Saccharomyces cerevisiae S288C: one gene and its partner. The protein of the gene in region 1 interacts with the protein of each later gene in a biochemical or structural test. Each region holds a gene or a part of one and is shown on either strand. Other genes may lie near its edges.

Region 1 (4,763 bases):
GTTCGCAAAATGTCTTATTTCGCAGAGATCAATTTTGAAACCCTAAGAACAAGTTCTCCACCATTTATTCCTCAATTAGATGATGAAACGGATGCAGGTTATTTCGATGACTTCACAAATGAAGAAGATATGGCTAAATATGCAGATGTCTTCAAAAGACAGAACAAATTATCTGCAATGGTCGATGACTCTGCCGTTGATTCCAAGCTTGTTGGATTTACTTTTAGGCATAGAGATGGAAAACAAGGTTCAAGCGGGATACTTTACAATGGTTCAGAACATTCAGACCCTTTTTCAACTTTTTATTAAGATTACGTCCCTACAATTTAATTTTGTATAGCATAACAGATACATTGACAACAGCAACAAGATGTGCTAACATTTTCCATTTTGAATGATTACCAAAATTATGAAACCAAGGCAACATGTAATTTTTAAGTTTAGTAATCTTTTTCGGGATGAGATGTTTTGAAGAGTTTTATGCTATTAAAGTAGTAATATGATTTATATATTCAAATAAAATGTAAATTATGAAAGAAAAATACGATAAGCTGATAGGGTAAACTAGAAACCTTCGTTTTCTTCATCATCCACATCCAGTTTCTTTCTACCGCCCCCATTTCTTAAGGCAGCCATCTCATTAGTGGCAACTTGCTTTCTAACCTTCTTTGTCATCCTGGCTATCTCTTCTTCAGCGTCAACTGCATCTTCTTCTGCATATTGCATTACCAATCTGCGGCCCAGTAAATGGACACCGTGCAACTGATCCATAGCATTTTCTGCTTCCTTTGGAAGTAAAAATTCCACGAACGCAAAACCTCTTGCAGACTTGTCGAACTTCTTTGGAACTCTAACAGATTTTAATTGACCAAAAGAATTGAATAATTCGAAAACGTCTTTCCTAGTAGCTTCAAATGGAAGATTCTTAACAATGATTTTACCGCTTTTCTTATTGGATTTAGTCTTTGTATTACCGCTCTGAGATGCTTGTCTATGGGATAACTTCAATTGAATCTTATGGCCGTCGATTACCGTCCCATCCATTGCAGCTATCACGGCATTAGCTTGTTCCTTGGTCCTGAATTCTACAAAACCAAACCCCATTGACAAGGTCTTGCCTTGATGTTTTGGATCAGGTTTTGTCTTCACTTGGGCAACAACAAAACCAGTGAAAACCTTGAACCTATCAGTAAGATTTTGGTTCGTCGTGGAGAAGTTTAGATTCTTTATGAAAATTGAGACAGTTGGACCATCAATAACGTCTTCATCATGAGCATTAGATGACCCTTCAGTTACATCCTTGTTTGCTTCCATTAAGTCATTTGATGAAGGTTTTACCTCTACCGGGTTTTCTTCTTCTTTTGCAGAAGTGTTATTTATCAAATCATCGGCCTCAGCTGGTTTAGTAAAGCAATCCTTAGGCCCCCTTTCTAGATATATTATGCCGTCCTTAAATCTTTTATACGATAGTTTAGTGAAAGCTGCCCTTGCTGACGTTGTGTCCCTGAATTGCACTATAGCTATTGTACCAGCTGGTGGCATGAGCAATCTTTCCAATTTACCATATGGCAAAAACATTTCGCCAAGCTCTTCTCTAGTTGTCCCAAAAGGAAAATTTTTAACCAGTATCACTTTATCGTCTCTTTGATTTGTAGATTTTAACTGTGAAAACTTGGTCAGATCAACACCTTTGGATTCAAAGTATTTTCTAACATCACCAATAACATGGGCTTCAGCCAAAGCTTGTTTGACAGCCGAACTTGAGTTTTCAGCATCGATCAATTGAGATTTTTCTAGACCCAATTTGGCTGCCACACTACCCAAAACAGCATCTTGGTTCATATACAAGGAGTTCCAAGAAAATGTTTGTCTGGATGCAGCTGCCTTCCTTTTCAATTCCTTTTGCTTTTTCAATGGCATATTCTTTAAATCAAACTCATCTAATCTATGGCTTTTTTTTTCTTCACCAGGAAGAATATGCAATAGTCTTCCTTGAAAAATCTGTTTATCCAATTCAACATAGGCGTTCACTGCATTCTTAGAATCCTTAAATAGAACGTATGCAAATCCTTTGGATTGACCAGTCCTGGTATCCAAAGCCACATGAACCTCCTCTAACTCTCCAAATGGACTAAATAGTTTCCTGAAATCTTCTTCTTTGGAGGTATACAAGATATTACGTAAGAATAAACGGCCAGTTTGGTTAATTTTTTCAATAGCCAGTTCTTCGTCCGTCTTTTGCGGCACAGCACGTTCTGGTTGTTCTTCCTTCTTGGTATCGAGACTTTCATTTTGTTCAGTAGCGTATGATGATGATTTTTCCCTTGTTTCCGCTTCACTTTCTTTGATTCTTACACGGCGTTGTTTGAACCAATCTAGGTCAGAAACCTTTTCATCTTGGGCGAGGTTTCTCCTCTTTTCATTCTCTTTTTCATCACTATTAGCGTCATCATTAACTAAACCTATATCAGTATCCTTCAAATTGCTAATACTTATCATCTTTTCTTCCTCTCCGGCATCTTCTTGATCTTCATCCCTGTTTCTGTTGAGAGCCGAATATTCATCGTCACTTTCATTCTCAATGACCAAATTTGGTGCTTCGTCTTTATTATTCTCTTCCTTTAAGGCTAATGCATGAGCCAATAGAGAATTCCCTTGCACGCTGGAGTCCTCTTCTTCCCGTTTTAGTTTTTCGTCCTCTATGCTCTTGTCAATGCCAACTTTTTCCCATGATGTGACTTGTGAGCTTGGCTTCATAGTCTCCATGAACTCTTGTAATTGCTTGTTCTTGCGAATCTCGTCATCAATGTTGCTGTGCTTATTTTCATCCACTTTCTTTTTCTTTCGATTTTCTTCTTGTAGCAATTTTTCTTCCTTTTCCCTAAACCTTTTCAGAGCTTCTCTTCTCTTCTCCTTCATGGGCTGCGGGACTCTTGGGTCTGCAAAGCTTTTAGCCATGGACACTTCTATCTTAGAAGTGTTGATAAAACTGCCATTGAAATACTCTACAGCATCAAAAGCGTCTTCCTCGTTACGGTATCCGATAAATCCAAATCTTCTACTTTCTCCGTTCCTATCTCTAAGAATTTTAACATCTGTTATGAGGTCTGGACCACTACCATTAACTGCTTGATGGGAATGTTTTTGACGTAATCTTTTTGTAAAATGCTCCCTGAGATTATCATCTGTTAGATAGACGGGCAAACCCTTGACAATGATACGGGACATGTTAGTTATGTTATCTTGTGCTTGAGGCTCAAATTAAATCTCAGTTCAGGTTGCAGTCTTTGCATATGAAGTACCGATGAGATGAGATGAGATGAGCTCTAAATTTCCATAAAATTTTTTCATTTTATAAAATTCACGTCGCTCCGCACGTAAATCCCTATTACGGAAATTATTTCTCAATAGGGAAAGCCCCTCCTATTGTTTTTTCCGTCTCGAGGATTTTTCACTTTTAGTATATAAGTAAAACATAAAAAACATGAGAGGTGGTATGGTTTATTTGCCGTCACTGTGGAGCCTTCAAGTAATGTAAATAAGAGGGAAAGTGTGATAGTACAAGATGAGTTCGAATTCAACACCAGAAAAGGTTACTGCAGAACACGTTCTGTGGTATATTCCCAATAAGATCGGTTATGTTCGTGTTATCACCGCCGCCCTTTCTTTTTTCGTTATGAAGAATCATCCTACGGCCTTTACATGGTTGTATAGTACATCATGTCTACTGGATGCGCTAGACGGAACCATGGCAAGAAAGTACAATCAGGTTTCCAGTCTGGGTGCCGTTCTGGACATGGTTACCGACAGATCCAGTACCGCTGGCTTGATGTGTTTCCTTTGTGTGCAGTATCCCCAATGGTGCGTTTTCTTCCAATTAATGCTGGGCTTGGATATTACTAGTCACTACATGCATATGTATGCCAGTTTAAGTGCTGGTAAGACTTCTCATAAAAGTGTGGGCGAGGGTGAGTCCAGATTGTTACACCTGTACTACACGAGAAGAGACGTACTGTTCACTATCTGTGCGTTTAACGAACTATTTTATGCTGGATTGTACTTGCAGTTGTTCTCAAATTCTGCAACCTTTGGTAAATGGACTACAATCATAAGTTTCCCTGGTTACGTGTTCAAGCAGACCGCAAACGTTGTCCAGCTAAAAAGGGCAGCCTTGATTTTAGCAGACAACGATGCCAAGAATGCCAACGAGAAGAACAAGACTTACTGATAGGATGAGTTTCTTACTTTTTTTCTCCTTTTAATTGCGCTAATCTTTTATTTATGTGTAGTTTTTATTTATGTGAAATGGAACATTCGTTGATTTAACTTTAAAAGCAGCCTACTCTATCGTCTTGATTATACTTGGCACAACAAATGCTCAAATAAACGAAAAATTTCATATTGTTGGTACTTTTTCTCAACGCGGTTTTTTTCCTGTTTTTTTCGAGCAGTTCCCGAGGGCATATTTAACATAAGCCAAGGAGAGAGAAAAAACGTTTGTTGGACAGATCAAAAAGAAAAAGAAGAAGACCTCTCCTCTATCTCAAGCTTCTGCCCCCCCCCCCGGAAGGAATTCAAGCACGAAGGTGAACATTGCCTACAAGAAAAAATGGATGTTTTATTGTCGCTTCCTCAACCGGAATTATTTAAGACCACGGTGATTCCGTTCTTGGCAAATCGCAATATAATCAAGTCGGAAGCGATTCTCTCCAACTTGCACTCAATTTTTTATGTTGCTATATTCTACCATATTTGGTTTCTTT
Region 2 (3,346 bases), on another chromosome or scaffold:
ATGGAAATATGGCCAAGGGAATAAATGACAGAATTATGACGTTGTCAACTGCGCTGAACGAATTGGTGCAAATAACCGCACTATTTAATACCCTAGAACCTTTTAGGAAGAATGCACATGACCGTGCTAAGCGTTACTATGTAAGTGCTACAAGTAGTACCGGATGCTACGAATCGGTAATGAAGAGCATGTATTCCGGAAAATGTGCAGCTAGTAACGCCTCAAACGTTGCGCCATCGGAGGAAGAAAACAAAAAGATATTGAAAAAGTTTGCCGACATAGGTTGGAAATTGATGGATGATTCAGAATTGGGTTGTTGCTGTTGCTTCTTTAACTAATATTCATGATAACAAGGTGAAAAATAGCATCCTAATGAAGGATAGATAAGTAGATTTTTTCTTTTAAAAACTATAGTACAAGGACATGCAAAGTCATATATCTAAACTAATTTTGGTACACGACCAACAAAAAAGGGTAACAAAGTACACATATTCGCGTCAATAATATGAACAAGTTTGTTTATTTGCTTTTCAAATTTTTTTCTTTCTCCAGCAAACAAAAGTCTTAATGCATTAAATAAGAACCTTCGTTTTTTCTGCTTCTTGAATTACCGTCGATGCCATTCGATTCGAACTTGTAAGAAATTTTGATATTTAGATCTCTGTTATTCTTCTCGTTTGGAGAGCAAACCAATTCACCTTCAATGGTGTCACCAGTTTCAGCATCTAGATCATCAGGGAAATAAAATATTGTTTGCTTCCAGTGAGTGTATGGAGCATGAGGACCAGTGGAGAACTCAACAGGTCTCTTACCCTTTGGTGCAGGGAAAACAATGTCGAACCAGGTGACTATACCATTAATCATATCTTGTCTCTTGGCCGTCAATTTAAAGTTACTCTTAAACGCTAGATCTGATATTTTTACTGTATTTAAATCAAATTCGATCAATTTGTCTGAGGTGGTGTTGACATTGTTTCTTTCCACGGTGTCGACGATGGGCTCGTGTAAGACCAACGGAACAAATGGCGAATAATCAAACCCGTAAACGTCTTGCCAGTAGTTCAACTTCTCGTCTTTATACTGAGAGTCTTCCAAACCGGCCAAATGAATGGAGCACTTGTCGGGAAAGATCAGACCGCCTTCTACCAAATAGTGGTCTCTAGCGTAAAGAACGGTGTCCATCATGGACTCGTATAGTAGAAAGTAACCCATCCATTCAGAAATTATGATGTCAACTTTAGGAAAGGGTAAATGAACGTCCTCCAACTTGCCTCTTAGCAAGGTGATCTTGTCGCTGAATCCGTTCAACTCTACCAATTCCTTCGCCATCTCAATAATGCTTGACATATCAACACCGATAACATGCTTCGCACCGTGTTTAGCGGCAAACATGGATAAAATACCGGTACCGCAACCGACGTCTAAAACAATCTTGTCCTTAAAAAGATCCTTATTTTGGATAATTGCGTTTCTGTAAGATAAGGTACGAACAGTATCTTGAAGCATCTCTTCGTGAATACCATAGTGATCGTACGAATTGAAGTAGTGCTGTTCGCTTTCACTTAGCTTGGTTTTTTCTGTAGCAGAATCTTTCACGGCTGTCTTGCTCATTATTTTCTTTGGATGAATTTGTCGGTTCTAACTCTTTTTTGGAAACGGCAAGGTGAGCAGTAGGCAGCTCATCTCTTCAACTATTTTTATAACATATAATTTCCCTTTGTGAAAAAATTTTCCCGCCATTTCCAAATTTCGGAATTCCTTTTTCTTTTTTTTCATCTCGGTATATTCTGACATATTACCCTATAGGCGGTATAAAAAGATTCATTATACAGTATAAAATAGAAAATGAGAGAATTATATGGTGTTAAATAGATCCTACATTGAATTTTTCATTAACAGTCCCTCATGGGGCTAGTCTAACGACTTTCCATGGATCGTTTTCTGTTTTTCTTCTGTAAACGAATCTATCATGCAATCTCGAGGGTCTACCTTGCCAGAACTCAATTTCCAGTGGAACGATTCTCAAGCCACCCCAATAATCTGGACATGGGATGTCTTCAGCATCCTTGAAACGTTCGGTGTTTTTTTGGGTCAACTCGTCTAGTTCTTCTCTGTTCTTGATAACATCCGATTGGCGGGAAGCCCATGCACCGATCTTGGATCCACGAGGTCTCGTCTTAAAGTATCTTTCAGAAGTTTCTCTGTTAACATGCTCTGTGATACCTTCAACTCTCACCTGCCTTTGCAGATCCTTCCAAAAGAATACGATTGCCGCATTCGGGTTGGTAGCAATATCATGAGCCTTTCTAGAGGTTCCCCAGTTAGAATAAATAGTAAAACCTCTATGGTCGAGCTCCTTAAAAAGAAGAATCCTGGACGACACCCTCCCACTAGGTAGTTCCGCGGATGAAAAAGTAATTGCTTCTGGCAACGTTTCCCTTGGGTCTTCCTTGGCTTCGTTGAACCATTTGGTGAAAAGATCGATTGGGTCGTCAGTAAGTTGTTTTTCATTCAAAGTAAATTTATCATATTGATACGTCTCAGGAGCAAATATGATTGGCTTTTGGGTCTCCTCAGCTTGTTTAGTCATTTTCAGTGCAGATCCGTGAAGTGTACTACTGGTCTAGGTAGAGTATCTTTAAAATATCTAATCATGCAAATTAGTCATTTCTTCTTTCTTATAAGTTGCGGCCCCTTCTAGTATTTACAATTTACCCGGCGCTGGTTCTGGTGGCATCTATAAGAGCTCTATCTGGCTGCTAAGCAGACTTGCTGTTACTTGTATGTGCTGTTTATCAAGATTGGGGCATTACGCATGTGTATGTGTGAACTACAGTAGTGTTATGAAATACAGCCTGAAAGACGAAAACTTCACAACGGAACTTAAGCGGTTCAATAAACATCTATCTGCCAGCTTAGAGAGACTACCCGTGGTAGAGAAAGACACGGGCAGCCAAAAATACTGGGTGTTGTATATTTACTTGTGTTAGTTTATAAATAAATTTTATATCACTATATGTGTGGTGAAAAGGAAGAGCAATCCTGCTAAAGCTTTTATATCTAAACGCCAAAAAAATAAAAAAAAAAGGAAATGGGAGAAAAGTTTTCAGCGCGCGAACTCGCGAAAAAACTTCCTCTTTAGCAATGGTGACATATAGATCTCAAGGTTCTCAATTAAAAGACCTTCTTTGTAGCTTTTAGTGTGATTTTTCTGGTTTGAGAATAAAACTAGAGAGGAAGATAGGTACCCTATGAAAATGTCAATGGCTGTTGCGTTTGCTTAATCGTATTTTTTTTTTTTTCAGTCCGTGTTTTTTGTACATTCTACGTTTGAGTTTTCCATCAT

What was found. The genes of interacting proteins can lie anywhere in the genome.
Region 2: of the proteins of MRD1 (region 1) and HMT1, one has a biochemical effect on the other in vitro, tested with the Saccharomyces cerevisiae proteins (one study listed by BioGRID).

The regions. Positions count from the first base shown.
Region 1 is NC_001148.4:748,692-753,454, forward strand, and holds MRD1 (RNA-binding ribosome biosynthesis protein MRD1), read right to left. Parts: upstream 3,229-4,763; coding exon 565-3,228; downstream 1-564. Other genes in the region: serine/threonine-protein kinase DBF20, read left to right, coding at 1-309; PIS1 (CDP-diacylglycerol--inositol 3-phosphatidyltransferase), read left to right, coding at 3,566-4,228; ALE2 (Ale2p), read left to right, coding at 4,610-4,763. UniProt on the Saccharomyces cerevisiae protein: Involved in pre-rRNA processing. Required for maintaining steady-state levels of 40S ribosomal subunit. Required for the initial processing of pre-rRNA at the A0 to A2 sites, leading to the processing of the 23S pre-rRNA intermediate to the 18S rRNA.
Region 2 is NC_001134.8:304,366-307,711, forward strand, and holds HMT1 (protein-arginine omega-N methyltransferase HMT1), read right to left. Parts: upstream 1,612-3,346; coding exon 565-1,611; downstream 1-564. Other genes in the region: EDS1 (Eds1p), read left to right, coding at 1-338; pyridoxamine-phosphate oxidase PDX3, read right to left, coding at 1,904-2,590. UniProt on the Saccharomyces cerevisiae protein: S-adenosyl-L-methionine-dependent protein-arginine N-methyltransferase that catalyzes both the mono- and asymmetric (type I) dimethylation of the guanidino nitrogens of arginine residues in a variety of RNA-binding proteins such as heterogeneous nuclear ribonucleoproteins (hnRNPs) and small nuclear ribonucleoproteins (snRNPs).